Callithrix jacchus: one gene and its partners. The protein of the gene in region 3 interacts with the protein of the main gene of each other region in a biochemical or structural test. Links are inferred from orthologs where the notes say so. Each region holds a gene or a part of one and is shown on either strand. Other genes may lie near its edges.

Region 1 (2,859 bases), on a different chromosome or scaffold from region 3:
GGGCCAGATCTACTGTGTCACCTCTTTTTGCAAGGCTCTGGAGCTCAAAATGTTTTTTGCATTTTTATTTTTAAAATATTGATTGCTTAGGACAGAGTCTCAGTCTCTCACCCGTGTGGCGCGCAGTGGCATGAACACAGCTCACTGCAGCTTCAAATTCCTGAGCTCAAGGGATCCTCCCATCCCAACCTCCTGAGTAGCTGGGACTGCAGGCATGCTCCACCATGCCTGGCTAATTTTTTTTTTTTTTTTTTTGTAGAGATGGGGGTCTTGCTACGTTGCCCAGGCTGGACCTGAACTCTGGAGCTCAAGGGATCCTCCTTCCCTGACCTCCCAGAGTGCTGGGATTCCAGGCATGAGCCACCGCACCTGGCTGGTTTTTGCATCTTTAAAGGATTGGAAAAACAAATCAGAAGATACGTTTTGGGATATGTGAGCATTATATGAAATTCAAATTTCTGGGCCATCGTTTTCACGGCCACGCCCACACGTTTACATATTGTCTGTGGCTGCCTTCACTCCACAAGACAAGGGCAGGCTTGAGCCGTTGTGACACGAACTACCTGACCCACAGAGGAGAACGTATTTACAATCTGGGCTTTTACAGACAGAGTCTGCTGACCCCTGACGGACACCCCAGAGCCTTCCAGAATATTAATTTCAGGGAACGGTGTTCCAAGCAGAGGGAGTGTGGAGAACTCGCTAACGTCGACTGGGCACCTGCTTGAGTTACTGTACTCCTCATGACAGCTGCCATGACCCCCTGTTGCAGAGAGGGAAACTGAGGCTCAGGCGATTTGTGTGTCCTCAGGTGCACAGCTAGTAGGTGGTTAAGTATGGTCTGAATTCGGCTCTGTGACCCCAAAGCCTCAATATGCACCCTCCACCTTTCTTCAGCACCCCCAGCCCAGTCTGTCCACTCACCTCCAAACTCTCCCTCTCCGATCTGTGCTCCCAACGTCAAATGCTGCAGGTTCAGCAACCAGCCCGCTGTGGAGTGAAGACCCAGTCAGGGCGGTACTAGGCCCCCCAAACCCTCCCACTGGGGGTTCTACTTGGTGAGACTAGGTGATGTCTCACAGTGCTGCAGCTGTGGAGACACATGTGACTGGCTGCTGGGCCTGGCAATGCCCCTGGGACATGTCAGAGACACCCCACTCCTGGTACCAATTATTGTTGTTGGAAGCAACAGATATCTCAGGCTGACCTGAGCAAAAAGGAGCTTGTAGGAGGGACAGTGGGGTGAATGGTCAAAGCTGGGGGCCTGGCTGAAGACCCTCAGACTCCACACTTGCCCTCCAGGAACTCCCTGTCAGGCCCAGGGGGCAGTGCCAGGAAACGTTTCACGTCTCAGAGATAAGAGCTGCCCTTTTCTCTTTGGCTACCTGGAGACCTCTTGTCCCTCCAAATGCCCTCTGGGCTCTTCCCTACATAGTCCTTTACCTCTGACCACCGAAACACACACAGGGCAAAAGAATAAATAAAATTAAAACCCATAAAGGTTCCAGAATATTCCAGGGGTCTGGCCTCCCTGACCCTTCTCCCAAGCACTCCTGTGTTGGCCCCTCCACTGTCCTCTGGTTGGTTCTGCAGGCTTCCCCCTCCCTCCAGAAAGCGCCCCCTCCAAATGCGGAACTCCTAAGGGATCATTGGTCAGGGTGATGCTAGTCTCCACCTGGGTGCCATCCCCGATGGGTACAGACTTCCCCAGGAGAGATGTACTTCAAAGAGACAGACATGGGGTGGGAAGAGGCATTTGCTTTTGAGCTTAAATATTGAGGATTTCACTACTCAGGGGCTGGAAAAGCACTTCAGGCGAAGTGAATGGAATCAACAATGGCTCAGAGGCATGAAGGAAACGATGATCACAGTTGACTTGGGCGGGGTGGATGCGTGGAGGAAGGGCTTTGCAGATGAGGCTGGAAGGGTGGCTCGGGCCATGGGGGCAGGTTCTGGAACGTAGTAGAGCTGCGGGCCTCTCTCCCCAGAGGCAGGATCTCATGATAGAAAGATAACCTTGGGGCTGCACTCAGGGCCTGGCCTGGAAGGGGCACTTGCCCCCTGGGAAGGAGGTCCTGTGATGAGAGGGACTGAGGCTGGGCTGTGGGGAGGGGAGGGGAGCAGATGCACCAGGTGTTAGGAACCAGGCCAAAGAGGGAATGCTGGGGCGGGGAGGTGGGTGGGTGGGGCTTCGGGGCCAGGTTTCTGGCTCAGATGATATGGCGGATGATGGTGACAGAGATGAGCAGCAGAAGGTGGGGCCCAGTGAGTAAAGGACTGATCGGCGTCTGTGGACCCCAAGGCAGCCCAGGTCTTCTATCCCATAGCTGTGCATGGGGACAGGCTTGGGTGATCTGGCCTTAGAGGCCCAGGGCCCCAGGGTCCTTCCTCCTGGGCTGCGCTAATGTGGGCAGGGGAGGAGGTGGGCCCTCTCGAGCGTCCCCTACCCCTGGCCAGCTCCTCCTCTGCCGACTTGGTCCCGTGCTTCCGCTTTGGCCTCACCAGCTTGGTGCAGATAGCGCCCTTGTCCTTGGTGTAATGCTGCAGGATACGGGGGTGGTGGTGAGCCCCGCCCCAGGACAGGGAACCCCGGCATCTCGTCCCTTTCTCTGCTGGGCTCTGGGTGGGGTGGGCGGGACCAGGGAGGAGAAGAGAGGCTGGTTTCCATTGGAATGGGAGAAGGGGCAGGCCAAAAGGAGCGGAGGTCCTCTGGATTGCTGTCAATTTGGGGGGTCCTGGGGGTCCCCAAAGATGTCATCCCAGTCCCTGGGGGCAGACTCAGGTCTGGGGGGCCCAGGGAATACCCCCTTCATCTCCATATTGGAGAAGCACAGAGCTCAGGGGATCCCAGGTGGTCAG
Region 2 (3,500 bases), about 3.6 Mb from region 3:
ATTCTAGACAATGTAAATCACCATTAATGTTTATTGCTGTGATGGACTTCCTGAACACATTGTTAGAAATTGGTTTGTGGCCAGGTGCTGTGGCTCATGTCTGGAATCCCAGCACTTTGGGAGGCCAAGGCAGTCAGATCAGCTGAGGTCAGGAGTTCGAGACCAGCCTGGCCAACATAGTGAGACTCCGTCTCTACTAAAAATACAAAAATTAGCTGGGTATGGTGGTGTGTGCCTGTAATCCTAGCTACTTGGGAGGCTGAGGCAGAAGAATCTCTTGACCCCAGGAGGCAGAGGTTGCAGTGAGCCAAGATCGTGCCACTGCACTCCAGCCTGGGCAACAGAGTGAGACTCTGTCTCAAAAAAAAAAAAAAAAAAGAGAGAGAGAGAAAGAGGAAATTAGTTTGTACCAGGAGGCAGGAGGTCCAGGAGAAGATGGAATTTCTAAATTCAGGCAGCCTACTGGTAAAAGTATCCATTCCTTTGTATTGACAAATAGTAATTTATTGTATGCATTTTGTTTATTGTTCATCAGTTGATGGACATTTGGATTGTTTCCACATTTGGTCTCTTATGAATAATGCTTCTGTGAACAGTTGTGTACAAGTTTTTGCATGGAAATATGTTTTCATTTCTCTTGGGTATTTACCTAGTTATCAGCACACTGCATCATATGGCAACTCTGTTTAACATTTGAGGAACTAAGTTCATATCAATTTATTCCCAAAGAACCTTTTCATATCTCATTTTGTTGTTTTCTTTTTGGGGGTTTTTGCTCCCTAATTTTTTTTCTGTGTTCTTGTATAAGTTTTATTCTTCACTGTCATCTCAGTTCATTCAACAAACATGTATCAAGTGCCTACTGCATGTCAGAAACAGAGCCAGGTTTTGGGGAGATTGTGGTGGACTAGGGGTAGTCACTGATCCTGACTTTTCCAGACCCTAACACTTGGGGGGAGACAGAGAAGTATGTAACAATTTTAAATTTCTCTGAAATATCCTGTAGTAGAGGTAATACAGAGTGCTATAGGTGTTTATGGAAGAGGCACCTCCTATTTCTTACTTAGTGCTGTAGGCAACTTGGGTTAAAAGGTCCACACTGATTCCCAGTAGTTAGTATTCCCAGTTGTTGGTATCTTAGAGCCCAATCTTTATGCTAAGATCCTGAATACTGAGTCACATCACGTGAATAACTTTCATTTTTAGCAGACTGATATAATTCACTTTCATAGCTCAGCTCTCATATTGGAAAAGAACATGAAATAACTTTTAGAAACCTTTTAACATCCTTTAAAATATTTGAGAAAAGACAAAACTAGCATGGTGCCTGATGAACACTGTAGGATTTAAAAGAAAATGTTTGTTGAATGAATAAAAGCATATAGCATGGTAGTGTATGTACACACAGAGGATGAGCAGAAAATGAGTAAATGATGAATTTTATCAGTGAGTTTCCTTAGCATTTTACCAAGCAGAATGATTATGAGTGAGTTTGACTGCAATGCTCTCTTTGATTACTAGGACTTGCCACCCGGCTTCGGTACCCAGTTAGTGTGAAGGGGAAGAATGCACCCACCACTGCAGGATTCAGCTATGGTAACTCTTATTTTGCAGTTGCATGAACTAATTTTCCTTGAAAAGAATCCATTGTCATGAGATAAATTTGGATGTGCACTATTTCATGTACTAGAACTGTTTTTTTTTATAAGTTTATAGCATGGGTTTTTAGATAATTATATTTAAGACCATAGCAACTTAGGTATTCTATTTTCATCATTATTCATAATTCCGTAGAAAGCTTTCTGTCAGTGAAAAATAAGCATTATCATGTGAGCATCTAAAATAAATCAAAGCCCTTCTTGGTTCTCACCAGCTTTATTGGTTACAAGAACGTGAATAAGAATGGAGGCAAGAGAGAAAGCTTCCAATTTAATTGTCTTAGTTGCTTCTGGCAAAAGCCTTTAAAACAGCAGATTAGATTATTTCCAGCTTGATGGAATTGAAAAAGAAAAAAAAATGAGAAGGAAGAGTGGTAAAGAAGGAAGTGTTTGTTTGACAAAAGTACCTTTAACTTTCAGGCTATATTATTATTAGCCTGGTATGCAGAGTTGTCTTGCCTTCATTTCACGTTGGTTAGAAGGCATACATCCTCTCCACCTTTTGGAGTTCAGATGCAGGTTTTAAGTCTGTTCTGTGTTTTATCAGGAATTATTACAGTGTTATCCTGTAATTTTTAGGTTGATCTTGGTTATAGGTTCTTTTTTCCCCTCTCTGATTCATGCTATGTTTTCCTTTTTAAATATGAACGCTTTCCCCTTCTGTCCTGCAGAGAAATGGGAGATTAACCCTTCAGAACTGACCTTTATGAGAGAATTGGGAAGTGGACTGTTTGGAGTGGTGAGGCTTGGCAAATGGCGAGCCCAGTACAAAGTCGCAATCAAAGCTATTCGGGAAGGTGCAATGTGCGAGGAGGACTTTATAGAAGAAGCTAAAGTGATGATGTAAGTTGCTGTCATCTTTCTGGCTCACCTTTTCATATTAAAAAGTGGCCCCTCACCAAAAACTTGGTAGTTTCTTTTCCTGTAGTAACTTTATATATATGTATGTCTTCCTTCCCAGGAAACTGACACACCCGAAGTTAGTGCAGCTTTATGGTGTATGCACTCAGCAGAAACCAATATACATTGTTACTGAGTTCATGGAAAGGGGCTGCCTTCTGAATTTCCTCCGACAGAGACAAGGTCATTTCAGTAGAGACGTGCTGCTGAGCATGTGTCAGGATGTGTGTGAAGGGATGGAGTATCTGGAGAGAAACAGCTTCATCCACAGAGATCTGGTAACCCCCTAGCCACCCATATTCCCATTCATTGGCTGAATTCCTTTGCAACATGGGGTCAGCAAATGTGCAATGATGTATTAATACCCAAGTTTTGTTCTTAATGTTTCACCATTATTTTTAAAGTTGGTAAATTTAACTTGCCCAGTAATTTTAAAGGAAAGATCTTCATTAAATCTAATGATTTGCCTAGTTAACATCTCCATGCAAGTTTCCAGGTTTTAATTTTTTGATCTCCATAAGAATCCCATGAGACAGCTACTCACAGTGGATTCTCTTACCATCGCTGTTGTATAGATGGGAAAATTAGCTTCAGGGAAGTGAAAAGGCTTGTCTACTGTGATAAATAGGGAAGCTGGGGTTGGCCTTGATTTTCTAACTAGATCCCAAGTTATTTTCCACCTCACGCACTATAAACAGAAACTATAAGAGAAGTCCTTTGGATTTTTAAAAAATCTCTTAAATCACAGAGAAAACATGGAGACTCATTTTAACTTCCCAAAATACCAGAAAAAGAAATTTGTTACTGGTTCTAAATTACTATGTTGGGGACAGTTTTTTCCTTCTCAACTGTTTTCACTCTCTCCTCCATTCTTCTTTTCCTTCTGTTTTTTTTTTTTTTTTTTTTTTAACCTGGTCTTTACAACTGTGTCTGTTTTCAGCA
Region 3 (3,946 bases):
GGGCTTATTCTTGCCAGTTTCTCCAGCTGTAAAACATTAGAGTAATAGTACTACCTCCTGGGCTCATTGAGACTACTAGAAATAGCAGGTAAAGCCCCAAGCACCGGGCCTGGTACATCGTTTCCAACTGAAGAGCAACAACTATGTATCACACATGTCATACGGAATTTAAGATGCGTTAGAAAGTATGTTGTAAATGCACAGCATACGGGATTTACAGAGTCACGAGAAGAAAATAGGGGGATGAGTGGGGGGAAAAACAATAGGGATAAATGAATTGTCTGGGATCTCTTTATAAGACCATTTTATTATTTCCAGCAGGATAATTTAGAGTGCCTTGTGTCCAGCTGCTGAGAATGACTCCAGCCTCACACCTGCAGGAACGAGGCGAGAAGGTATGATTCACTATTCCTTGCAGGTTCATCCTGTTAGGCACAGGAGCTGTAATACTGTTGTAGGGGGGAAGGGGAGGAGAAGAATGAGGGTTAGGACAAAGTGGGTACCTCCTAGCCCTCAAAGAGCAATGCAGAGGAATATATGGGAATTGAGGGGCGGGCAGCATAAGCCACAGCTCCAGTCAGATGCAACCATACACTATGAGGTCCCTGTGAGCAGGAGAGGCAGAGGAATTTCAAAGAGGCAGGCAGAGACCAGGGAAATAGTTGAAAAGACTGCTGAGTCTACACTTAGAACATTGGAGGATAATTCTAGACGCAAAGGATACTTCAGGATGCAGATGCCCCCTTGTACTCTGGAGGACACTGGATTCCCCGGAATGTAAGCACCCTGCCCAAGGACACGCAGCCAAGGAATGGCAGAGAAAAGGAGAATCCCGGGGAGAGAGCAAGGCTTGGTCGTTATACCACACTGCCCCCCAGGAGGCAGACCTTCAAATTTCCTTTGCCAAAAATCTACTGGGAAGAAGGAAACCATTGATTCATTTAATTTTTTAAAAGGCAGATATTCAATGTGGGCTGTCTTTCTAGTCTCCTAGTAGGGTCTAGTTCACATACCTTAACTGATATTAAAAAGGCCAAGGCACAAAAACAAAGACCAGATGAGTCTTTTTAAGACAGGTAATCAAATCCTCCAGGGAATCCGAAGACTCCCGCGTGACCCCTGCTGACCCCTCCTGCTGCGCAGGGGTCCAGATGCAAGGCCTCTCTACCCCCACAGGAAAGCCCTCACAATGGTTACAAGACGAGGACCCGGGAGGCTGCGCCTGGAAGCTTTCTAGAGAAACTGACCGATAGTCGACAGTCTCACAACCCTTCATTGCGCCGCTTCCTTTCAAGCACTTGATTCCAGCTCAGACTCACTTTCTATCCTTACATCATCAGGGTAACCTTAAAGGTTTGTTTTTTAAAATGACCTGGAAGAGAACAGGGCTTCAGGGGTTAGCTTCAGTGAGCGACCTGCACTCGCGCGCACCAGCGACACCGAGAAAACAAGTGAACCGGAGGCAGGAATCTGACCGAGCGGCTCCAGCAGCCTGGAAGTCCTACACCTAAGACCCAAGTTCCCACGCGAATATACCTAGATTTTTGTTACAGCTTTAAGAACTAAGATTTGCAAAAAGTTCCACTCCATCTCCCTCTCCATCCCCAGGCAGCCCCGAAGTCTCGACGCCCCGGGAGTGGAGAGACGGGCGGTTACGAACCTCAAAAATGTCCTAAGAAAATAAGGACCTGCGAATACAGTTCGCAGGCAGCCGGACTAGGGGCTTCCAGAGCCCGCCAGGCAGGCCAGGCACTGGGCCAGCGGGCTAGGCGGCCAGGGTCAGAAACCGCAGAGTATCAGCACGCTGTCCGCTGCCTTAGAGGAGCAGGCGGCAAACGCAGCCTCCAGCAGCCCCGGGGCGCTTGGCAGGAATGAAACGGCGCCACGGCAGAAAGAGGCGAGCACGCGATGTAGGAAAGCAAAAAGTCTGCAACCTAGCGGCTGCTTTCCACACGCCCTACCCAAGTTGTCCCCGTCGCCACTACCGCCAGGTTCACGGGGGTCCAGCCCCACACTCGCACGCCGCACGCTTCCCGTGCAAAACCCTAACCAGGAGGCGGGGAAACGCTGCAGCCTTCGATTCGTCTCCACGGGTGGCGCCGCGAGCAGAGGCAGCAGCGGGTCGGTCCCCAGCTCTGGGCACAAAGAGCGCCTGCGGTTGGAAGGCAGCAGCCGCAGAGGAGAGAAAGGGCTCTTTAACTTTGCCCTCCGCGTGGCGGAGAACCTGTGGGCAGGTCATCCTGGGCACCGGTTACACACACGCAACTTTTAACAAAAGGAATCTGCGGCCGCGCCTCGCACGGAGAGATAAGGCGCTCGGTGCGAACCCCTGAGCCGCCCGCCTCCGCCCCCAGCGCACCATCGGCACAAAAGCTACCCCAAACTCACATGCAGCCTGCAGCCTCGCTCACGCCTAACCCCCTTGCTGTCCCCACTCCCGAAAGAACCCCGGCTTCGCGCCCCCCACCACCAGCAGCTGAGGTCTCCTCGCACAGGTGAGCAAGGCAGGCCTCTGGAGAGTCCGAGGGCCGCCTGGAGTCTCCCCGGAGGCTGGAACGCAAGGGTATTGAGGGCCCGCAGCTCCCCCTCCGGACGCACCCTGGCGTGTACCACCCTCCCAGGCACAGGTTTCGCCGAGGAGTCGCACGGCCGGGGTGCCCGCCGCGGTGTCCCACCTGTCTGGACGCGGAGCAGGAGGAGCAGAACGCAGAGAAAATCCCAGGCGCCACGAGCGCCTCTCATCGCGGTGGCTACTCTGGGATCCGAGCTCTGGTCCACGTTCCAGCTCTAGCCCAAGTGCAGCGAGCGCGGCAAAGCCGAGCCCCCAGAGCCGCGAGCGCCGAGCGCAGCCCCTCCTCCCAGCGCCCTCCCACTGCGCGCCGGCCACGCCCCTCCTCGCCTCGCCTCCCTCGCGCCCGCCCGGGTCTCGCTCCTTCCCGGCGGCGTCTGGCCCCTGCTCTTTCGACGTGCTAATGCCGGGGGGGCTGTGCCCGCCCTTGCCGCTGGCTCTTGACCCCGGAGCCCCTTTCTCTCTCCACCTCTCCAACCCCGGGATGTGGTCTGCCCGTCCGAGGCCGTTCCCGAACCAGGGAGGTGCTGCCCGCTGGCTTTGTGAAGCTGGGCACCACGCGCACGTTAGGGCACGGGCCCGCCACCTGCCAGGTGCTCTCCAGACAATAAAGGTCGGCTCCCCGCCCCTCCGGCGCGTTCGAGCGAGAGTAGGCTGGACGCCGCTGGTGGTGGAGGTACGGGGATGGGGAGGGGAGCGGTAGGAAATTGAGCCCCGACATTACCCTCCAGGCCTGTTAGGAGCGCCTGGCACCGCGGTAAAGGCTGAGCCTGGCTTAGCTAATTGTTTCTGCTCAGTTTCTCCACCTGCTTTGTAACATGTAAGGACACAGTGAGTTCCTATTGGTCGGCTTGGCCTACGCCCAAGAAGCCCGTACCCGGACTTTTGTGGAGACTGGGGCGAGGGAGTGGGGAGGGGCGCGCTGCGAAGTTTGCTCTGGGAGCCCAGGTTTTCTTACACATTTCTCCCCCCACCCCAATGCTGCCAACCCCTGTAATGATTTCTCTGCCTCTGTATCAGACGACGGTTTCAGGGCTAGGGATCCCTGTGTTCCTCTTAACTGCTCTTGCCGGTCCCAGGAGTAAGATAAAAGTACAACGATTCTTTTAAGCCAGATTTCACTGCCCAGAAAGTGCTCTACCCACGGTCTCATGGTGGATCCTTGAACGGAAAGCAGCAACAGTGTAGGGGTTACTAGTTCTTCTCCACACCGACTCTTCTTTCATGCTCAGGATAACAGCTTTGTGAGGGGTATAGAGCAGGTATGTTTCTTATTGTAGCGAAGGAAAAACCCTTGTTTGAAGACCTACTCCAAGAAAGATGAGCTTCCCCTAAGCATTTTGATAAACTAATAAGACATCCCTCCTGAGAGCTTAA
Region 4 (3,500 bases), on a different chromosome or scaffold from region 3:
GAGGCTTCCGCAGGGTCTGGGCTGAGGCTGCCAAGAGAAGGAGTTAGGGAGTGAGAGGGTGGCTGGAACCTGGAGGGCGAACAAGGAGGTCTGGGGCAGCTGGGAAGGGCAGAGTGAGGCTGCAACCACCCCATCCACCCAGGGAAGGCAGTGGAGCCAAGGACACAGGGCAGGACAGGGAGGACAGCCAGGCAGAAGAGTTGTAGCACCGCCACCTGAGCACAGCGCCCGCTCACTTCCTCTTGAGGGAACCCTTGCTCTTCTCCTTGTCTGCTGACCGCTGCTTCTTCACTTTCTCCTCCCGCTTGTTCTTACTGTGCAGGTTCTCATACACATCCTCCTTGTGTCTGCAGCAGGGTGCAGGGGGCAAACACAGGCCGGAGGCACAGGTCAGGAGACAGCACGGGGGACCCAGCAGTGGCAACCCTCTCTGGCTGCCCCATCTCACAGGTGGCCCAGCCACTGTCCCTGCACTAAACTCCAAGTTCTTTGAGGTTAGAGGCAACATCTCATACACAAGTGCACTGCTGCTACCTAGCACAGGCCCACACGTGGCGGCGGTGGGGGGGCACTCTGGAAATGCTTATTAACAGAAGGCGTGAGAACCAAGCTTGAACTTGAAGCAACACTTGTCCTCTCCAGAAATCAAGGATCGGGCTGGTCAGGACAAAGGGGTGGATGCCGGGAGGTGGCAGTCAGGGCCACTCACTTGGATGAGGTGCGGGAGGCCTTGGCATGGGCGTTCTTCATGGCTGGGGGGTAGGTGATGTTCCCATACTCCGACTCCTGGCCCTTCTGCGACTGTGGGCAGAGGGATAGCAGGAGGGTGGTGGTCCCAGCAGGGCCAGGTGGCACCCATCCCCCGCTGCAGCCCCCTAGGCCCTGCTCTGCACGCACCTGCAGGACCTCCAGCTTCTTCTTGGTGGTTTCAATGTACTGGGCAATGGCCACGTAGATGAACTTGTACTGCGCCTCCGTCTGCACCATGCCCGAGCGCTGCGCCCGCACCATCTGGATAGTCTTCTGGATGTCAATGTCACAGTCCAGGCCTGGGTGGGGGCAGTCAAACCTCAGGCCTAGGCACAGGTAGACACCAAGGGGTTGCTCACCCCGCCCCCAAGCCCCCAGGTGCCCCTCACCCTTGGTGGAGATGTTCTCCATGAGCATGTCGATGACAATGATGGTACCTGTGCGGCCAATGCCCGCGCTGAGGAGAGACGGGGATGCCGTCAGAGGCCAGTCAAGCCCTTCCTGGGAAGGGGGGTTGACCAGTGCTCAGCTCCACCCCCAGGCACTGCAGGAGCAGCCTGAGCCTCCAGTAATAGAAGGGAATGTACCCAGCATCATTGGGCAAGTGACAATGACAATTTGCCCGACTCTGCATGGGAGCACTCCACTTCTGGCTCTGTGGTGCTGATGCCAGCTTCCCAGATGCCACCATCCTTCCCTACTCCACTCCCTGCACCGAATCCTCACTCCTGGAGAGCAGCTGTCCCCACCCCGAAAGACATGGGACCCCCAAATCCCACTACTGTCCTGCTGGTTCCTAGGCACCCTGAACCCTTCCCACCTCTCCAAGAGTTAGGGAGCTCCAGCTGGGTGCAGTGGCTCACACCTGTAATCCCAGCACTTTGGGAGGCTGAGGCAGATAGATCAAGAGGTCAGGAGTTCAAATACCAGCCTGACCAACATGGTGAAACCCCCGTCTCTCCTGAAAATACAAAACTTAGCTGGGCGTAGTGGCGTGCACCTGTAATCCCAGCTACTCAGGAGGCTGAGGCAGGAGAATCACTTGAACCTGGGAGGCAGAGGTTGCAGTGAGCTGAGATCACGCCACTGCACTCCAGCCTGGGCAACAAGAGTGAGACTGTCTCAAAAAAAAAAAAAATTCATGGAGCTTCTCTCTGCAGAGGTTTATTTCCCTTTTTCTTCAAACCCTGACAGCTGGGAAAGGACAGCCCAGAGACAACAGGGTTCAGGGGTGCCGGGTCAGGGACTCGGGGGAGCAGTGCAATAGGAAGTTTCTCTCCTTCCCACCCCTGGGCAAGCAGACCCTAGGGAGACCCCAGGCCCACCCTCAGCTGGGCCCATCAGGCTGGTGCCCTGAGTCGCACTGTCTAATTTCAAACACAGATTGTCAAAAATAACCCCCCTTCACCCACTTCCTTCCTGTAACGTCTAAATAAAGGCCATGGGGCTTTCAAGAAGTGTGTGACTATACGTGCGGTGGGTGAGCAGGAGGGTGGCTCTCAGGGATAGACCTGTCCCTGAGAGAGCAGAGGACAGAGCTGCGGCCCCAAGACAGCCCATCGGGGCACCTCTAGATTCAGCCAACTGGCCCTGTCCCATGGACAAACAGCTGCTGGGGGGAAGAGGAGGAGGCCAGAGGCCATCAAAGACCTGGGGTCCACAGAGGGAGTGTGAAGGGACCGGGCAAGGCAGGTCCCTGTTTCCCCCATTCTCTGTCTGGCATGAGTACTAAACCAGTAACTGCCAGTGTTTGAGGGCTGATGGAATTCCAGCCACAGCAATAGGGTCTCACGACAACCCTGAGATCCTGGTTTTACAGATGAGGAAGCTGAGGGTCAGAAAAGTTAAGCAATTTGTCCAAGATCACACAGCTGGTGAGCAGAGGGGCCCTCCACCCGCTGCCTCTCTTCCATTTAGGCCAGGCCGGCATGGTGGGCTCTTCAGTGGGACCCCTGCTCCTCGCAGCCCCACCTCTGCACCCTACAGGGGTCTCCTGATCACAAACACGAGGGTAGATAGAGGAGCTATGTGTACCCCCCAGAAAGGCATCGCCCATCCCCATACAACCCTGGGGGCCAGGATGGGGAACTGCCAGGGAAAGGGGGAGAGACGGCGGAGTCAGGAAGAAGCCTAAACCCTGGGGCTACAGATGGAAAAAGAGGAGGAATGGGGAGCACAGGCACGATGGATATTCCTGGGAGGCCAGAAGAAACCAGCAGAGTGGGACCTTGAGAGACAGCAGGGCAGCCGGGACTCAGGCCTACTGTGGGTGCCAGCCCGGCCTCGCCCTGACTAGCTGGGGCCTGGCCAGCAGCTGAGTCCTGGGTTCCTCCTCTGTATTTGGGTTGGGCGAGATGGTACATCTGGGGAAGGCTCTGAGGAAGACACCCACAGGCAGGGGGCCAAAGTGGGACCAGGTCCAGCCATGTTCCACCCCAGGCTCTGGAGCCATGAGGGAACCCAGAAGAAGCCGGGGGTGAGCGGAAGGCAATAGACGTGTGCACTAACATGTATGTTGCTTATAACAGCTCATGGCGCTTAGCAATATTTACTCCTCAGCAGTCACTGCTACCATGAGGACTCTCATTCTCACCTGCAGTGCACGATGATGGGGCCTGCGCGAGGCAGACTTTCCTGCCGCTGGTTGATCTGGTCCAGGAAGCTGAGGACGCCCCCGGGCTCACTGGGGACCCCATGGTCAGGCCAGCTCAGGTACTGGTAGTGCCAGATCTCCCGAACCAGGTCCCCCT
Region 5 (4,220 bases), on a different chromosome or scaffold from region 3:
TCAGCTCCACGCAAGCAGAGATATTTGTGTTGTTCACTGCTGTGTTCCCAGAACCTAGAACAGTGCTTGGTGCGTAGTAGTTATTTCATACCTGTGTGCGGAAAGCAGATTTTTGTAGCCCTTGTCTTCAAGATCATTGGACACCAGGAATCCTACAGCAGGCCAGCTCCCTTCCCCCATCTACTTGGAGCCTGGAAATCCCCACCTTCTGGGGAACCCCTTCCTGTAGCTCGAAGGCCAGGACTCCCGGCTTTAACAGAGTGCTTCCTGGAGCCAAGTCTCGAGCTAACTGCTTTAATGCATTAACTCACTTAATTCTCACTGCCAGGAGAGTGGGTACACGTTATTTCCATTTCATAGGCAAGGAAGTGGAAGTACGGAGAAGTCAAGTCATTTGCCCGGGTAGGAAGAGGGGGAGGCAGTGGAATGGAGACACTTGCTGCCCGGGAAGGCTTGAGGTGGCTCCTCCAAGCTGGGGGCGTGGGCGACTAGTTTCCTGTTGGGGGAGGGGGAGAAGGGTAGACATTCCTCCCTCCCGCCCTCCCACATGTTGGGGGAGAGGCTGACTGAGAGCATGCCCCACTCCGGACTAGGGGGAACCCCACTCTCCGTCTCTGTTCCTCATGAGGCCGTGGGGAAAATCAGTAGCCTGGAGGCTGGTAGGGGGGTGGGCGCAGAGGCCACGGGAGCCAGCGGTCGGACAGGGCTTCCTGGAGAAAGATGCACCGCTCCTAGAGTTGGGGGACAGGACGGGTGGCCGGAGGGAGGCTGGTTTATACTAGCACCGGCTGTAGCAAAGGCAAAGCTGAGGGTTGGGGGCAGAACCCAAATTGGGGGCCTGGGGCCGTGGCGGATCGGCTCAGCACGATCGCAGATAGTCAGGGCGGGGCGGGGCAGGGCTGGGTTGTCTCCCTCGGGCGATGATGAAAGCCTGGGTCGCTATTGCACTACCCAGCCCTGCGGGCGCTGATAAGACCCTGCAGGAGGGAGTCAGACGAGCCCCTTGGAGGCCAGACCTCTCGACCCTGCCCTCCCTAGGCCCCGCCTCTTCATCTGGCCCCGCCTCCAGGCGCCGAGGCACCGGGTGGCCGGCTGGCTTTGAGTGGGTGAGGCTAAATTCGTCCCGCCCCTTCGATCCTCCCTTCTTTAGGCTGTGAGACACAAAATCGAGTGGGCACGTGGTGGGCGTGACTTCGCAAGGCCCTGCCTCTTGCCTGGCCCCGGGTGGCAGAGGCCTCAGACCCGGTCCTCAGCAGACTAGCGGGATTGGTTGGCGGGACCAGCCCAGGCTCCGCCCTCATGTCCCGCCCCACCAGCTGAGTCTCCGGCTCTTGGGCTGCCAGGGGCGTGACTTCTGGTGGCCCTGCCCCTTCCCCGCCCCTGTCGCTGCCGCCCTCCTCCGCCAGGCTCAGCTTGCACTGTCGATACCTCTTTACATAACGGCGCAGGGCGGCATGGGTCTGGGCCACCGCCTCCGCCCGGCTGCCCGCCCGGACTGTCGCGGCCCGCGGTGGCGACGGCGGCGGCTGCAAAGTTTCCCAGGCGGCGGCGGCCCGGGGGAGCATCCTCCCGCAACTGTCAAGCGCTGGCGGCGGAAATGATGAGGCGCTGGCCATTTTCCGAGCTCGGGTTTCCTGCCTGAGCCCGGCTCCATCGAGCCGCGAGCGAGAAGCCGGCGCGCGGGAGAGGACGCTCCGGGGGCGGGGGCCCACCCGCCCCCTCGGGATTTCGGGGGCCCGGGGACGCGCGACGCCATGGGCCGGCCGGGCCCGGAGCCCCTGTCTCTCAGGTGAGTCCGCCTTTGCCGGCGCTGTCCTCCTCCAGGGCCGGCAGGGCTTTCGTGGGGGAAGGGAAGGCCCCGTGTCCAGTTCTGCCCGGACTCTGCGCGTCACCCCCTGCCCAAAATACTGCCCTGCGGCTCAGATGGAGGCGTTCGGGGGTGACGGCTCCCAGCACCTGCGACCCCCCCCCAGCTACCACCACCACCACGCACACACGTGTTGGGGAGAGCGTTGGGGTAGCTGAGGCCGTGGGAGCGGGGAGAGGGTATCGCTGACGCCCCCAGCCCACGCCCCTCAACTTGTGCTTGGGGAGGAGCGGTCATTGCTACCTTGAAAGTGAAAGTAGTCAAACTGAGGCTATAAACACAGATGAGCCCTTGGGTGTGGAGGCAGCGGGAGAGGATGCGCCGGCCCCTCCCCACCCCCATTCCGGGCCATGTGGCTAAGAGGGTAGCGCCCTGATTCAGGAAGCCCCTCTCCCCACTCCCTGCACTGCCGAGGTGGGCCGGGCCAGGCCCCCGTATGCTGCTGAATTGGGCGGTTCACCAGGGCTAGGGGTCCCAGAGACAGGTCTCTGGGACTGATCTTCTCACACGTCCCACCTGGGGTTCCCTGGGAATACCCCGACCGAAAAACGTCAGAAGGGGGTGTTGGTCTTCTAGATCCTGACGATTGGAAGGGTATTTCAGAGGCTTCTGATGCCTGGTGCAGAAATCCTCTCCCCTCCCTGCCTCCTTCCCTCCCTCCAGGGAAGCTTTGTTTTGAGGGAGGGGACTGCATTTGAGGAACCGGAGAGGGGGGTCTGCCTGCTTGTCCCGCTTTATTTTCTTTAGTTTCCTCGTTTTCCTGTTTCTCTTCCCCATTCCCAACCACAATTGCTGTAGGTGAGGAGGTCACTCTCTGCAGCTGGGGGCCTCCAGGGAGGAGTACGGCCAGGCTGGGCTGAGTGGGAGGAAATGAAATCCGGTGGGGTATTCGGAGCAGAGTCCTGGGCAAAGCGGTGTGGGCAGGGCCAGCTTTCGTGGCAGGAGGGCTGAGATCTGACCCACAGCCCCTCGCTGGGGAGATGACAGTTCCCTCACGCCAGCCAGCAGCTAGGCATCAGGGCCCCTGCCAGGGCAGTGGGCGTGTGGGTCTCCAGGGATGCAGGCACACGTTGTGTCTGGGTTTCCCATCACTGACCTGGCCACTCTGGAGGCTCCTCTGGACCTGCCTTCGTGGAGGGAAAGCTGACAGAGGCCACCTGGGCAGGCTGGGCTTGGGGGATGAGAGCCTGGGCCCACTGAGGGAAGTTGGAAGGGTTTTTAGGGCACTTTTCCTGAGCTTGTTCCCACAACCCCACTCTGGGAGGGAAAATCCTTCTGAGCCAAAGGGTGAACATTCTTAGAACTTTCGCGAGTCCCTATGGGCCACAGAGCGGACAGCTGGGAAGGGGCTGACCCGAAGCATCAGCAGCTGGGGGGCTCGGCCTTCAGGGGCTCAGCAGGAAGCGGAGTAGGATAGTGACGAGGGTCCTGGAGACTACACTTCGCTGCTCCCACAGCCTCCATTCAGCTGAAGGCGTGGGCAAGTGACTTGTGAACCTCAGTTTCCCCCTGCATAAAACAGGGTAATAACAGGTTTGCAGTGGAGATTTAATGAGCCAGTGTGTAATGAGCACCTGCTGCCTGGCAAAGAGAAGCGATTCAGTTGCAGGTGGTGGTGGTGCTTTTATCATGGCCTTAGTGAGTGTTATTGTTATTGGCTGTGAGCTGTTCCTTCTGCAGTCCCCCTTGAGCATCTGTTGCACACATACCACTGGAGTGTCCAGGGTGTTTGGGAGCAGAATTTTGAAAATCTGGGCACTTTCTTAGCCAGGAGGCCTTGCTGAACTGCCCCACCTCAGTTTCCTCATCTGTGAAGTGGCTGTGCTAATAGCACCTACTTCTTAGGGTCATGGGAACCATGAATGAGTGAATTCAGAGTCTAGAATGGCTTGGTCAGGAGGAAGAGAAGTAGCCTTGGGGCTGGGATGATATTTTTTGTTGTGGATGTTAGCTCTGCTGGCTTTCCTTCCTCCTCCCCCTCACCCCCATGCCTCTCAAACCTGGGCCTGATGCTCCTCCTCTGATAAAGAGAACTTTTGAGTACAAATCAGATCCTGTAGGACAGCTAAGTCGGATTTCTGGCTCCCGCTGTGCCAGCCCCGGCTATTCTCTATATCCTGGGTGGAGCAGAGCTGGAGGCACTTGGAGGGACCTCCTAGCCACCAGTCCCAGTGCCACCTGTTTCAGGTGAGGAGAAACCAGGTGCCCTCCCCAGCCAGGGTGGGGAGAGTCATTGAAGGGGTCTCGGGGACATAGTAGGGAGCTGTCCCTCAGTCTGGGCCAATACAGCTCCTTTCGCTGAAAACACCTTTGGGGCCCAGTTTACATGACCACATACCCTTCTGAGGGATGA
Region 6 (4,178 bases), on a different chromosome or scaffold from region 3:
CTTGAGCAGAAGTATCATGGTTGCATTTTTTTTGCAATCTAGGTTTGAGACAAGTAAACAGGAAAGTCAAATAAACACTTGAATATATAGATAAATCTGAAGGTATAAATTTAAGATTCCTTAGCTAGTAGATGATAAGCTAGAAGTGAAAATGTATTTAGAAGTAAGAGTTAAAAGGAAAAGAGGGCCCCTAACTGATTCTTAAGGAAGTCCAGCATCTAAAAGTTGGGGGACAGGAGGCAAATAAGAGTGAAGAGTGGTCTGCTGACAGAGGCAGATCTACCTGGAAACTCATGCAACTTAACATTCTGGGTCCTTCTCTTGCCTGGGAGGAACCTTAGCAAAGTGTTTACATGGGCATATATTTTTCGAATATTAAAAAAAATATATATATATATTTGTTGTTGAAGCAGAGCCCCCAGTTGCACAAGCTTCAGAGCCCATGCATGGGCCCTTGACCAAGAGGAAGGAGCAAAACCAAGGTGTGATTGCAGGGAATTACAGGAGGAGTGGGGTGCGGAGGGCTCTAGGAAGAGAGAGGTCAATAGCTGCGAATGTGTTTGAAAGGCCAAGGAATATGAGAAAAGAATATTTTTATACCGAATATTAAAAAAATTCTTTTAAATGTTCTAAATTGGACTTCTGAGTATCCTTTGGTCCTATACTCTAATATTAGAGGGATGTATTAAAAAAGGGTTTCTTATGCAGAAAAAGATTCCTGGGACTTCCAAATTGAGGATAACAGACAATCTTAAGTGGCACAAATAGAAATGAATATCTGTTCTTCCCAGCACCATGCAACTCCAATCACCTTTCCATGTTTACTGTTTTTGCTTTTTAATTGGATCATCAGACTAAGAATGCACCCTGATGTGTGAAAAGTCACTTACAAAGTGAGAAGACAGCCCCCTCCTTTCTGATTAAAGCGCTTCTCACCAGCATCCTATGCCACTTGGTAAGCTACCCATGCAGAAGGCATCCACAGGGGAGTGTACATAAAGAAAATTTGAGGAACTAGAAACAGGGTATCAGCTTCCGCAGGTAGACAAAATCGGCACACAAAAATATTAGTGTCATTACATTTGAATTTCCGATAAACAACGAAGAACTTTTTGGTGTAAGTATGTCCCAAATATTGCATGGGATATACTTGTACTAAAATGCTTCTTTTTTTATTTGAAATTCCCATTCAACAGGGCAGCCTGTATTTTATCTGACCACCTCACAAGTCCACTACCCATACCCCAGAGGCTGAGAGGCCCAGTGGCGAATTTAAAACCCAGCACCGGCCCGCTCGGCCGCGCCCCCTGATTGGCCGAGGCGCGCCCGCCGCCCCGCCGGTCGCAGGCGTCACCGCAGACCCGGCAGCCTGGGCCCCGCCACTGCCTCCGCGGCAGCCCCGGTCGGCGCAAGTGCGGCGCGCGCTGGGGGAGGGGGCGCGGCGGAGCGCGAGGCTGGCGTCGGGCCGCGGGCGGCCAGACGGGATTAAGTTTCTCAGTCACGCGTGAGTGTCTGTGCGCGTTGATTCCGAAGCTCCTCGCCGGCCCGTTACTTCAGAAGAGAAGAGAGCAAGCGTGGGCGAGGCGGGGCATCCCGAGGCCCCGGCGACCCCAGCTCTCCAGTCCTTCGACCCTTTCGTGTCCCTGCCCGGGGCGGCCGCCGCAAGCTGGGTAAGCGGCGCGTGAGCCCCGGCCCGGAGGCCCAAGCGCGCCCCCGCGCCGTGCGCGCGCGCCGGCGGGGAAGGTGCGCGGGCGCCCGGGGCTCGGCGCGAGGGGGTGGGGGTGGGGGCGGCCGGCGGGGGCGGGTGCGCTCGCCCCACCCCGCGCGGCCCAGCGCTTAGCGGAAGCCGCTGCGCCGGCTTTTTAAAAGGATGGGGTCTAGAAGTTTCCTTTGCTACTCTCAAGTCTCCACCCCCCCAAGCCCCGCGATGGATAATCCTAAACCTTTCAGCCACCCTCTTTCCGTCCTTTTGCTTTCGCTGACTCTACGAGCTTTAAAAGTTTTCCTTCTTCCTTGACCCGGAGGGGCACAGTCTTGGTGTCGGGGGCGGGGTAGCTTGTGGACCCGGAGCGCAGACCAGGCTTCCGGGGCGCGGGAGCCTGTTGCTCTCTGCTGCCAAGGCCGCGCCCGGAGGCCCCATCTTTCCTTACGCGGTGCCGGGATGTGCGGGGTGCGGTAGCGAGTGGGCAGCATTGCTCCTGGCCCTGCCTTCTCGCCTTAGAAGTGGGGGACCCGAGGCGAGCCACTAATTGGTACCGATCCCCCGCTCCCCACCCCTGGCGTGCGTGCCTTTTAACCGCCGCTCCCGTGGGTGGGAGCATTTTGGGCTCGTCTCTCCCTTAATAATCCCCTCACCCCCCGCACTGATGGGCGCCTTTGTCGGCGATTTGGCAGTCCCGGGTTGCCGGATGTTCCTAGGGAAGCGATGTTTGGGAGACGCTTTGTGTCTTGTGGAGTTGCGCGTGTGTCAGGTGGGATGGTGGACATTTTTGCCTGCATTTTTTGCAGAGGCACAAAGGCTGGCCTATTCTTCCCTGCAGTCACTTGAAAATTCAAGCAGAGATTGCGGGGGAGGAGAAGTGGCCAGGCAGCGGCGGGAGGTGGAGGCTACTGCTTAGTCACTGGGGGCTAGCAGAGGGCCCCCCGGAGGACTCTCCTCCGCGGTGGAGCTGTTGAGGTTGCTCTGCCTGGGAAGACCTCGGCAGTGGGCACTGATTGCCTTTGTGCAGTGGGGGCTGCGGTTGCAGGCTCGTGTTTAGTAGGTATCATCAGATAGATAAGAGAACCATGACTTCACTGGCCAAGAAGGAAAACTTCTCCATGTTCTTTTGATATCGTGGAGGAGGAATCTGATAAGTGACCAGACTGCCTCTTCCTGCATTGTGGATAGTTTGATGTAAACATCCCCTTCTTGTTTCCCTAGAAGTTACTCGTTTAAATTACTCTTGATAGAATAAATAACACTTTATCCGGAAACTAACAAGGAGGAGGTGATGGTTTCGGACTTGGGAGTTTTACATGTTGAATTTGGGTGTAAGTGATTACAATGAACTCCTTGTAATGTTCGAACTATTTAAATTTGTATAATGTACGCCTTAGCACCTGATAGAATTGTGGCAAACAATAGTGTTAAACCCAGCAAAACTTGGCTGGGCACAGTGTCTCATGTCTGTAATCCCAGCACTTTGGGAGGCAGAGGCGGGTGGATCTCGTGAGGTCAGGAATTCCACACCAGCCTGGCCAACATGGTTAAACCCCGTCTCTACTAAAAACACAAAAATTAGTAGGGTGTGATGGTGGTAGTCCCAGTTACTAGGGAGGCTCAGGCAGGAGAATCGCTTGAAGTCGGGAGGTTGAGGTTTCATTGAGCTGAGAACACGCCACTACACTCCATCCTGGGTGACAGGGCAAAACTCTGATTCGAAAAATAAATAAATAAAAAGTAAAAGTAAAAACCTAGCAAAACTTGAAGTTCTTTGGCTTGATCTTCAAATAAAATACCGTGCTTTGGATAGATGCACTTGTGCCCTTGTGTGCAACGTAGGCAAAACTAGTTTTGGGTGCCCGTTGACTGACTCTCCATTTCGCTATCTCATTTGCTAAAACTGATAAAGATTGTTCTCAACATATTACCAATAGATTATGGTCTACCTTATTTCTTACATATGTTCCTTTTCTTTCCTTTGATCCTTTCTGTATTCTTTCCACTTACCTTCTCTAGTTCTGGTTTTCTGTGTCCCTTTACCACACTCCTTTTTTACTTTCTAGGCCTCATGGTTGTGGCTTGGGAATGGAGGGATGTTTAGTCAGTTTTTAGTGTGCTTCAAAGTCCTATCATCTAGACATTGCCCTCATGGGCCCTTAAAGATGTCTTTTCCTTTCAGGATGTCTTTAAATGCACCTATCTGTGAGGAATAGAGGCTATTCTCAGAGTTTACTGTCTTTCTGCAAGTTGAAGGTATTCAGAGAGGAGATTCTTTGAAATCTTTGAAATGTAACTTTACATGGATTTAGGCCTACTTGGGCACTTTTAGTTGTTAACTGCTAGGGTGGAGAGATCTTGCTTGACAAATGACAAGGAAGTAAATCCATTGTCTAGAATTGAGATTAAGGGATTTAAAATCTGAAGAAGAACAGTGAATTTCCTGGAAGGTCACTATCCTGAGTTAGAGGCAGAT
Region 7 (4,025 bases), on a different chromosome or scaffold from region 3:
GTGAGCCACTAAGCCTGGCGATGATGGCATTTGAAACCGCCCTGTAGTTATATAAACAAGTGTTTCTGACCCCAATGCTCGAAACTGCTTTTTCCAGTCTCACAACTGCCTCTTCCTGCACTGGAGAACCGTAGATGCTCTTCAAGATCTGTGCCCCCATCAGTTACTGCACATCCCCTTCTCATCCCAGCCTCTCACTTCGGGGCTAGTGTCATTATTCTCATTTTGCAGCTCCGGAAATGGAGGCTACGCAAGTCCTCGCTGCCTTTTCCCTGCCTGCAGTACAGCTATGGTATTCTGGTGTCACACCACCCACTCTAGTGTCCCTTTAGACTACTCGATTTTTTTTTTTTTTTTTGAGACAGAGTCTTGCTCTGTCACCCAGGCTGGAGTGCATGCACGATCTCGGCTCACTGCAACCTCTGCCTCCCGGGTTTAGGCGATTCTCCTGCCTCAGCCTCCTGAGTAGCTGAGATTACAGGCGCCAGCCACCATGCCCAGCTAATTTTTGTGTTTTAATGGAGATGGGGGTTTCATCATATTAGCCAGGTTGGTCTTGAACTCCTGATCTCAGGTGATCCACCCGCCTGGGCCTCCCAAAGTGCTGGGATTACAGTTGTGAGTAATCCCAGCACTTTGGGAGGCTGAGGTTAAATTTAAAAATTTAATTTTAAATTTAAAAAAAATTAAAAAAAATTTTTTTAAACCAGGCCAGGCATGGTGGCTCATGCCTGTAATCCCAGCATTTTGGGAGGACAAGGTGGGAGGATCACTTGAGGTTAGGAGTTCCAGACCAGCCTGGCCAACATAGCAAAACCCTGTCTGTACTAAAAATAGAAAAATTAGTTGGTCATAGTGGCGCATGCCTATAATCCCAGCTATTCGGGAGGCTGAGGCAGGAGAATCACTTGAACCCAGCAGGCAGAGGTTGCAGTGAGCCAGTGCACTCCAGCCTGGGTGACAGAGTGAGACTGTGTCTTAAAAAAAAAAGAAGGAAAGAAAGAAAACTCCGTGATTTAAAAGTCTTAAGGCTGCCTTGGCCTTTTTTCCAGTCCAGGTCTTAAATTTTTCCTCCTCTTCCACAATAATAATGAGTATGAATTCAGTTTGTTCGCAAAGCCTGCCTTGCTCTGAAGCATCCGACTGTGGAGAATCTTCACCCACGCCTGTGATTTGTGAGCCTGAAGAAAATTATCCATCCTTGCAGATGTGTTCTGCTGAGATGCCTCACACAGAGACTGATGGAGTCTTGCTCTGATACCCAGGCTGGAGTGCAGTTGCTGGATCTCTGCTTACAACACCTCTGCCTCCCAGGTTCAAATGATTCTCCTGCCTCAGTCCCCTGAGCAGCTGGGATTACAGGTGCCCATCACCATGCCCAGCTAATTTTTTTTTGTATTTTTAGTAGAGATGGGGGTTTTACATTATTTGCCAAGCTGGTCTCAAACTCCTGACCTCAAGTGATCCACCCGCCTAGACTTCCCAAAGTTATAGGATTACAGATGTGAGCCACCGGTCTGGCTGAGAAAGAAAGAAAGAGAGAAAGAGAGAAAGAGAGAAAGAGAGAGAGAGAGAGAAAGAGAGAGAGAAAGAGAGAGAGGGAGGGAGGGAAGGAGGGAGGGAGGGAGGGAGGGAGGGAGGAAGGAAGGAAGGAAGGAAGGAAGGAATTCAGTGATTTGTACAATTGCCTAACCATGACTACATTCCAATTACAGAACGTTTCTGTCAACCTGATAAGGTTCCTTCTGCCTGTTTCTGGTCGATCTATCTCCCAGTTCCAGTCCTATGCAACCACTGATCTGCTTTCTGTCTCTAACTTTGCTTTTTCTGGATGTTTCATATACACTATAATAATACACTATGTAGTCTTTAGCTTCTGGCTTCTTTCACTCAGTATGATTTTTGAGATGCATTCATGCTGTAGGATCTAGAGTAGTTTGTTCTTTTTTATTGCTGAGTAGTATTCCACTGTGTGGTTACACCACATTTTGTTTCTTAATTCACTAGTTTTTTTTTTTTTTTTTAGACGGAGTTTCACTCTTGTTGCCCAGGCTGGAGTGCAATGGTGCAATCTCGGCTCACCACAACCTCCACCTCCTGGGTTCAGGCAATTCTCCTGCCTCAGCCTCCTGAGTAGCTGGGATTACAGGCACGTGCCACCATGCCCAGCTAATTTTTTGTATTTTTAGTAGAGACGGGGTTTCACCATGTTGACCAGGATGGTCTTGATCTCTTGACCTCGTAATCCACCCTCCTCGGCCTCCCAAAGTGCTGGGATTACAGACGTGAGCCACCGCGCCCAGCTTAATTCACTAGTTGATGGATATTTAGGATTCCAGTTTTTGTCTATTTTGAATAATCTGCTATGAATGTTTATCTAGGTGTCTTTGTATAGATACGTGTTTTCATTTCTCTTGGGTTGATTCCTAAGGGTAGAACTGCTGGATTGTGTGGTAAGTTTATGATTAACTTTTTTTTTTTTTTTTTGAGACAGACTCTCTCTCCGTTGCCCAGGCTAGAATGCAGCAGTGCAAACACAGCTCACTGCAGCCTCGACCTGCTGAACTCAAGCTATCCTCTTGCCTCAGCCTCCTGAATAGCTGAGACTACAGACATGCACCACCATGTCCCCCTAGTTTTTTTGTATTTTTTGTAGAGACAAGGTTTTGCCATTTTCTCAGGCTAATGTTTAGCTTTTTAAGAAATGGCCAGGGTGGGGCACGGTGGGTCATGCCTGTAATCCCAGCACTTTGGGAGGCTGAGGTGGGCAAATCACCTGAGGTCAGGAGTTCGATACCAGCCTGACCAATATGGTGAAATCCCGTCTCCACTAAAAATACAAAAATTAGGGGCCGGGCATGGTGGCTCACCCCATAATCCCAGCACTTTGGAAGGCCAAGATAGGCAGATCACCTGAGGTCGGGAGTTCGAGACCAGCCATGACTAACATGGAGAAACTCTGTTTCTACTAAAAATACAAAATTAGCTGGGTGTGGTGGTACATGCCTGTAATCCTGGCTACTTGGGAAGCGAAGACAGGAGAATCCCTTGAATCCGGGAGGCAGAGGTTGCAGTGAGCTGAGATTTTGCCACCTCACTCCAGAGACAGAGCAAGAATCCATCTCAAAAACAAAAAACAAAAATTAGCCAGGTGTGGTAGTGGGCGCCTGTAGTCCCAGCTACTCAGGAGGCTGAGACAGGAGAATTGCTTGAACCCCAGAGTTGGAGGTTGCAGTGAGCCAAGATCAAGCCACTGCACTCCAGCCTGGGCAACAAAGCAAGACTATCTCAAAAAAACAAAAAACAAAAACCAAAAAGAGAAACAGCCAGACTGTTTTTCAAAGTGGCAGCACCATTTTACATCCCCACCAGCAATATATGAGGATTTGTCTCTCTATATCCTCACCAATACTTGTTTCTTTCTCTTTGGTTATAAGCATCCTAGTGGGCATGTCATGGTATATCATTGTGGTTTTAATTCTCATTTATCTAATGACTATGTTGTGTATCTTTTCATGTAGTTATTAGCCATTCATATACATATTATTTGAAGAAACATCTATTCAAGTATTTTGCCCATTTTTATTAGGATTGTTTGTCTATTATTGATTTGTAGAAGTTCTTTATATATTTTGATTGCCAACCAAAATATATACAACCATATATGGTTCTATATGATTTGCAACTATTTTTTCCCAATCTTTGGCTCGTTTTTTTTTTTTTCTTTCTTTCTTTGAGACAGGGTCTCACAGTGTCACCCAGGCTGGAGTGTAGTGGCACAATCTCGGCTCACTGCAACCTCTGCTTCCCGGGTTCAAGCCTCCCAAGTAGCTGGGATTACAGGCATGTGCCACCATGGCCCAGCTAATTTTTTGTATTTTTAGTAGAGATGGCCAGGCCCTGTGCATTATGTTGGCCAGGTTGGTCTGGAGCTCCTGGGCCTCAAGTGATCTGCCTGCCTCAGCCTCCCAAAGTGCTGGGACCACAGGCATGATCTATTTCACCTGACTTCTTTTCTCCTTTGT

The links.
Region 1: the proteins of KIT (region 3) and MATK form a complex in vitro, tested with the Homo sapiens proteins (2 studies listed by BioGRID). The link is inferred for Callithrix jacchus from reciprocal best matches to the Homo sapiens genes KIT and MATK.
Region 2: the proteins of KIT (region 3) and TEC form a complex in vitro, tested with the Homo sapiens proteins (2 studies listed by BioGRID and IntAct, with this or other methods). The link is inferred for Callithrix jacchus from reciprocal best matches to the Homo sapiens genes KIT and TEC.
Region 4: the proteins of KIT (region 3) and PTPN6 form a complex in vitro, tested with the Homo sapiens proteins (2 studies listed by BioGRID). The link is inferred for Callithrix jacchus from reciprocal best matches to the Homo sapiens genes KIT and PTPN6.
Region 5: the proteins of KIT (region 3) and SH2B3 form a complex in vitro, tested with the Homo sapiens proteins (2 studies listed by BioGRID and IntAct, with this or other methods). The link is inferred for Callithrix jacchus from reciprocal best matches to the Homo sapiens genes KIT and SH2B3.
Region 6: the proteins of KIT (region 3) and MPDZ form a complex in vitro, tested with the Homo sapiens proteins (2 studies listed by BioGRID and IntAct, with this or other methods). The link is inferred for Callithrix jacchus from reciprocal best matches to the Homo sapiens genes KIT and MPDZ.
Region 7: the proteins of KIT (region 3) and GRB7 form a complex in vitro, tested with the Homo sapiens proteins (3 studies listed by BioGRID and IntAct, with this or other methods). The link is inferred for Callithrix jacchus from reciprocal best matches to the Homo sapiens genes KIT and GRB7.

What each region holds. Positions count from the first base shown.
Region 1 is NC_133523.1:3,553,209-3,556,067, forward strand, and holds part of MATK (megakaryocyte-associated tyrosine-protein kinase), read right to left. Parts: intron 2,542-2,859; coding exon 2,448-2,541; intron 991-2,447; coding exon 925-990; intron 1-924.
Region 2 is NC_133504.1:145,700,415-145,703,914, forward strand, and holds part of TEC (tyrosine-protein kinase Tec), read left to right. Parts: intron 1-1,521; coding exon 1,522-1,596; intron 1,597-2,329; coding exon 2,330-2,501; intron 2,502-2,619; coding exon 2,620-2,836; intron 2,837-3,500.
Region 3 is NC_133504.1:142,097,158-142,101,103, forward strand, and holds the start of KIT (mast/stem cell growth factor receptor Kit), read right to left. Parts: upstream 2,801-3,946; 5' UTR 2,743-2,800; coding exon of another isoform or gene 2,676-2,742; intron 1,874-2,675; exon of another isoform or gene 1,661-1,873; intron 1-1,660. UniProt on the Homo sapiens protein: Tyrosine-protein kinase that acts as a cell-surface receptor for the cytokine KITLG/SCF and plays an essential role in the regulation of cell survival and proliferation, hematopoiesis, stem cell maintenance, gametogenesis, mast cell development, migration and function, and in melanogenesis.
Region 4 is NC_133510.1:21,225,675-21,229,174, reverse strand, and holds part of PTPN6 (tyrosine-protein phosphatase non-receptor type 6), read right to left. Parts: intron 3,499-3,500; coding exon 3,344-3,498; intron 1,208-3,343; coding exon 1,140-1,207; intron 1,050-1,139; coding exon 898-1,049; intron 802-897; coding exon 710-801; intron 348-709; coding exon 237-347; coding exon of another isoform or gene 233-236; exon of another isoform or gene 216-232; intron 28-215; coding exon 1-27. UniProt on the Homo sapiens protein: Tyrosine phosphatase enzyme that plays important roles in controlling immune signaling pathways and fundamental physiological processes such as hematopoiesis.
Region 5 is NC_133510.1:114,273,812-114,278,031, forward strand, and holds the start of SH2B3 (SH2B adapter protein 3), read left to right. Parts: upstream 1-1,420; 5' UTR 1,421-1,789; intron 1,790-4,220. UniProt on the Homo sapiens protein: Links T-cell receptor activation signal to phospholipase C-gamma-1, GRB2 and phosphatidylinositol 3-kinase.
Region 6 is NC_133502.1:119,814,887-119,819,064, reverse strand, and holds the start of MPDZ (multiple PDZ domain protein), read left to right. Parts: upstream 1-1,378; 5' UTR 1,379-1,504; exon of another isoform or gene 1,505-1,670; intron 1,671-2,101; exon of another isoform or gene 2,102-2,471; intron 2,472-4,178. UniProt on the Homo sapiens protein: Member of the NMDAR signaling complex that may play a role in control of AMPAR potentiation and synaptic plasticity in excitatory synapses. Promotes clustering of HT2RC at the cell surface.
Region 7 is NC_133506.1:120,193,756-120,197,780, forward strand, and holds the start of GRB7 (growth factor receptor-bound protein 7), read left to right. Parts: upstream 1-1,225; 5' UTR 1,226-1,314; intron 1,315-4,025. UniProt on the Homo sapiens protein: Adapter protein that interacts with the cytoplasmic domain of numerous receptor kinases and modulates down-stream signaling. Promotes activation of down-stream protein kinases, including STAT3, AKT1, MAPK1 and/or MAPK3. Promotes activation of HRAS.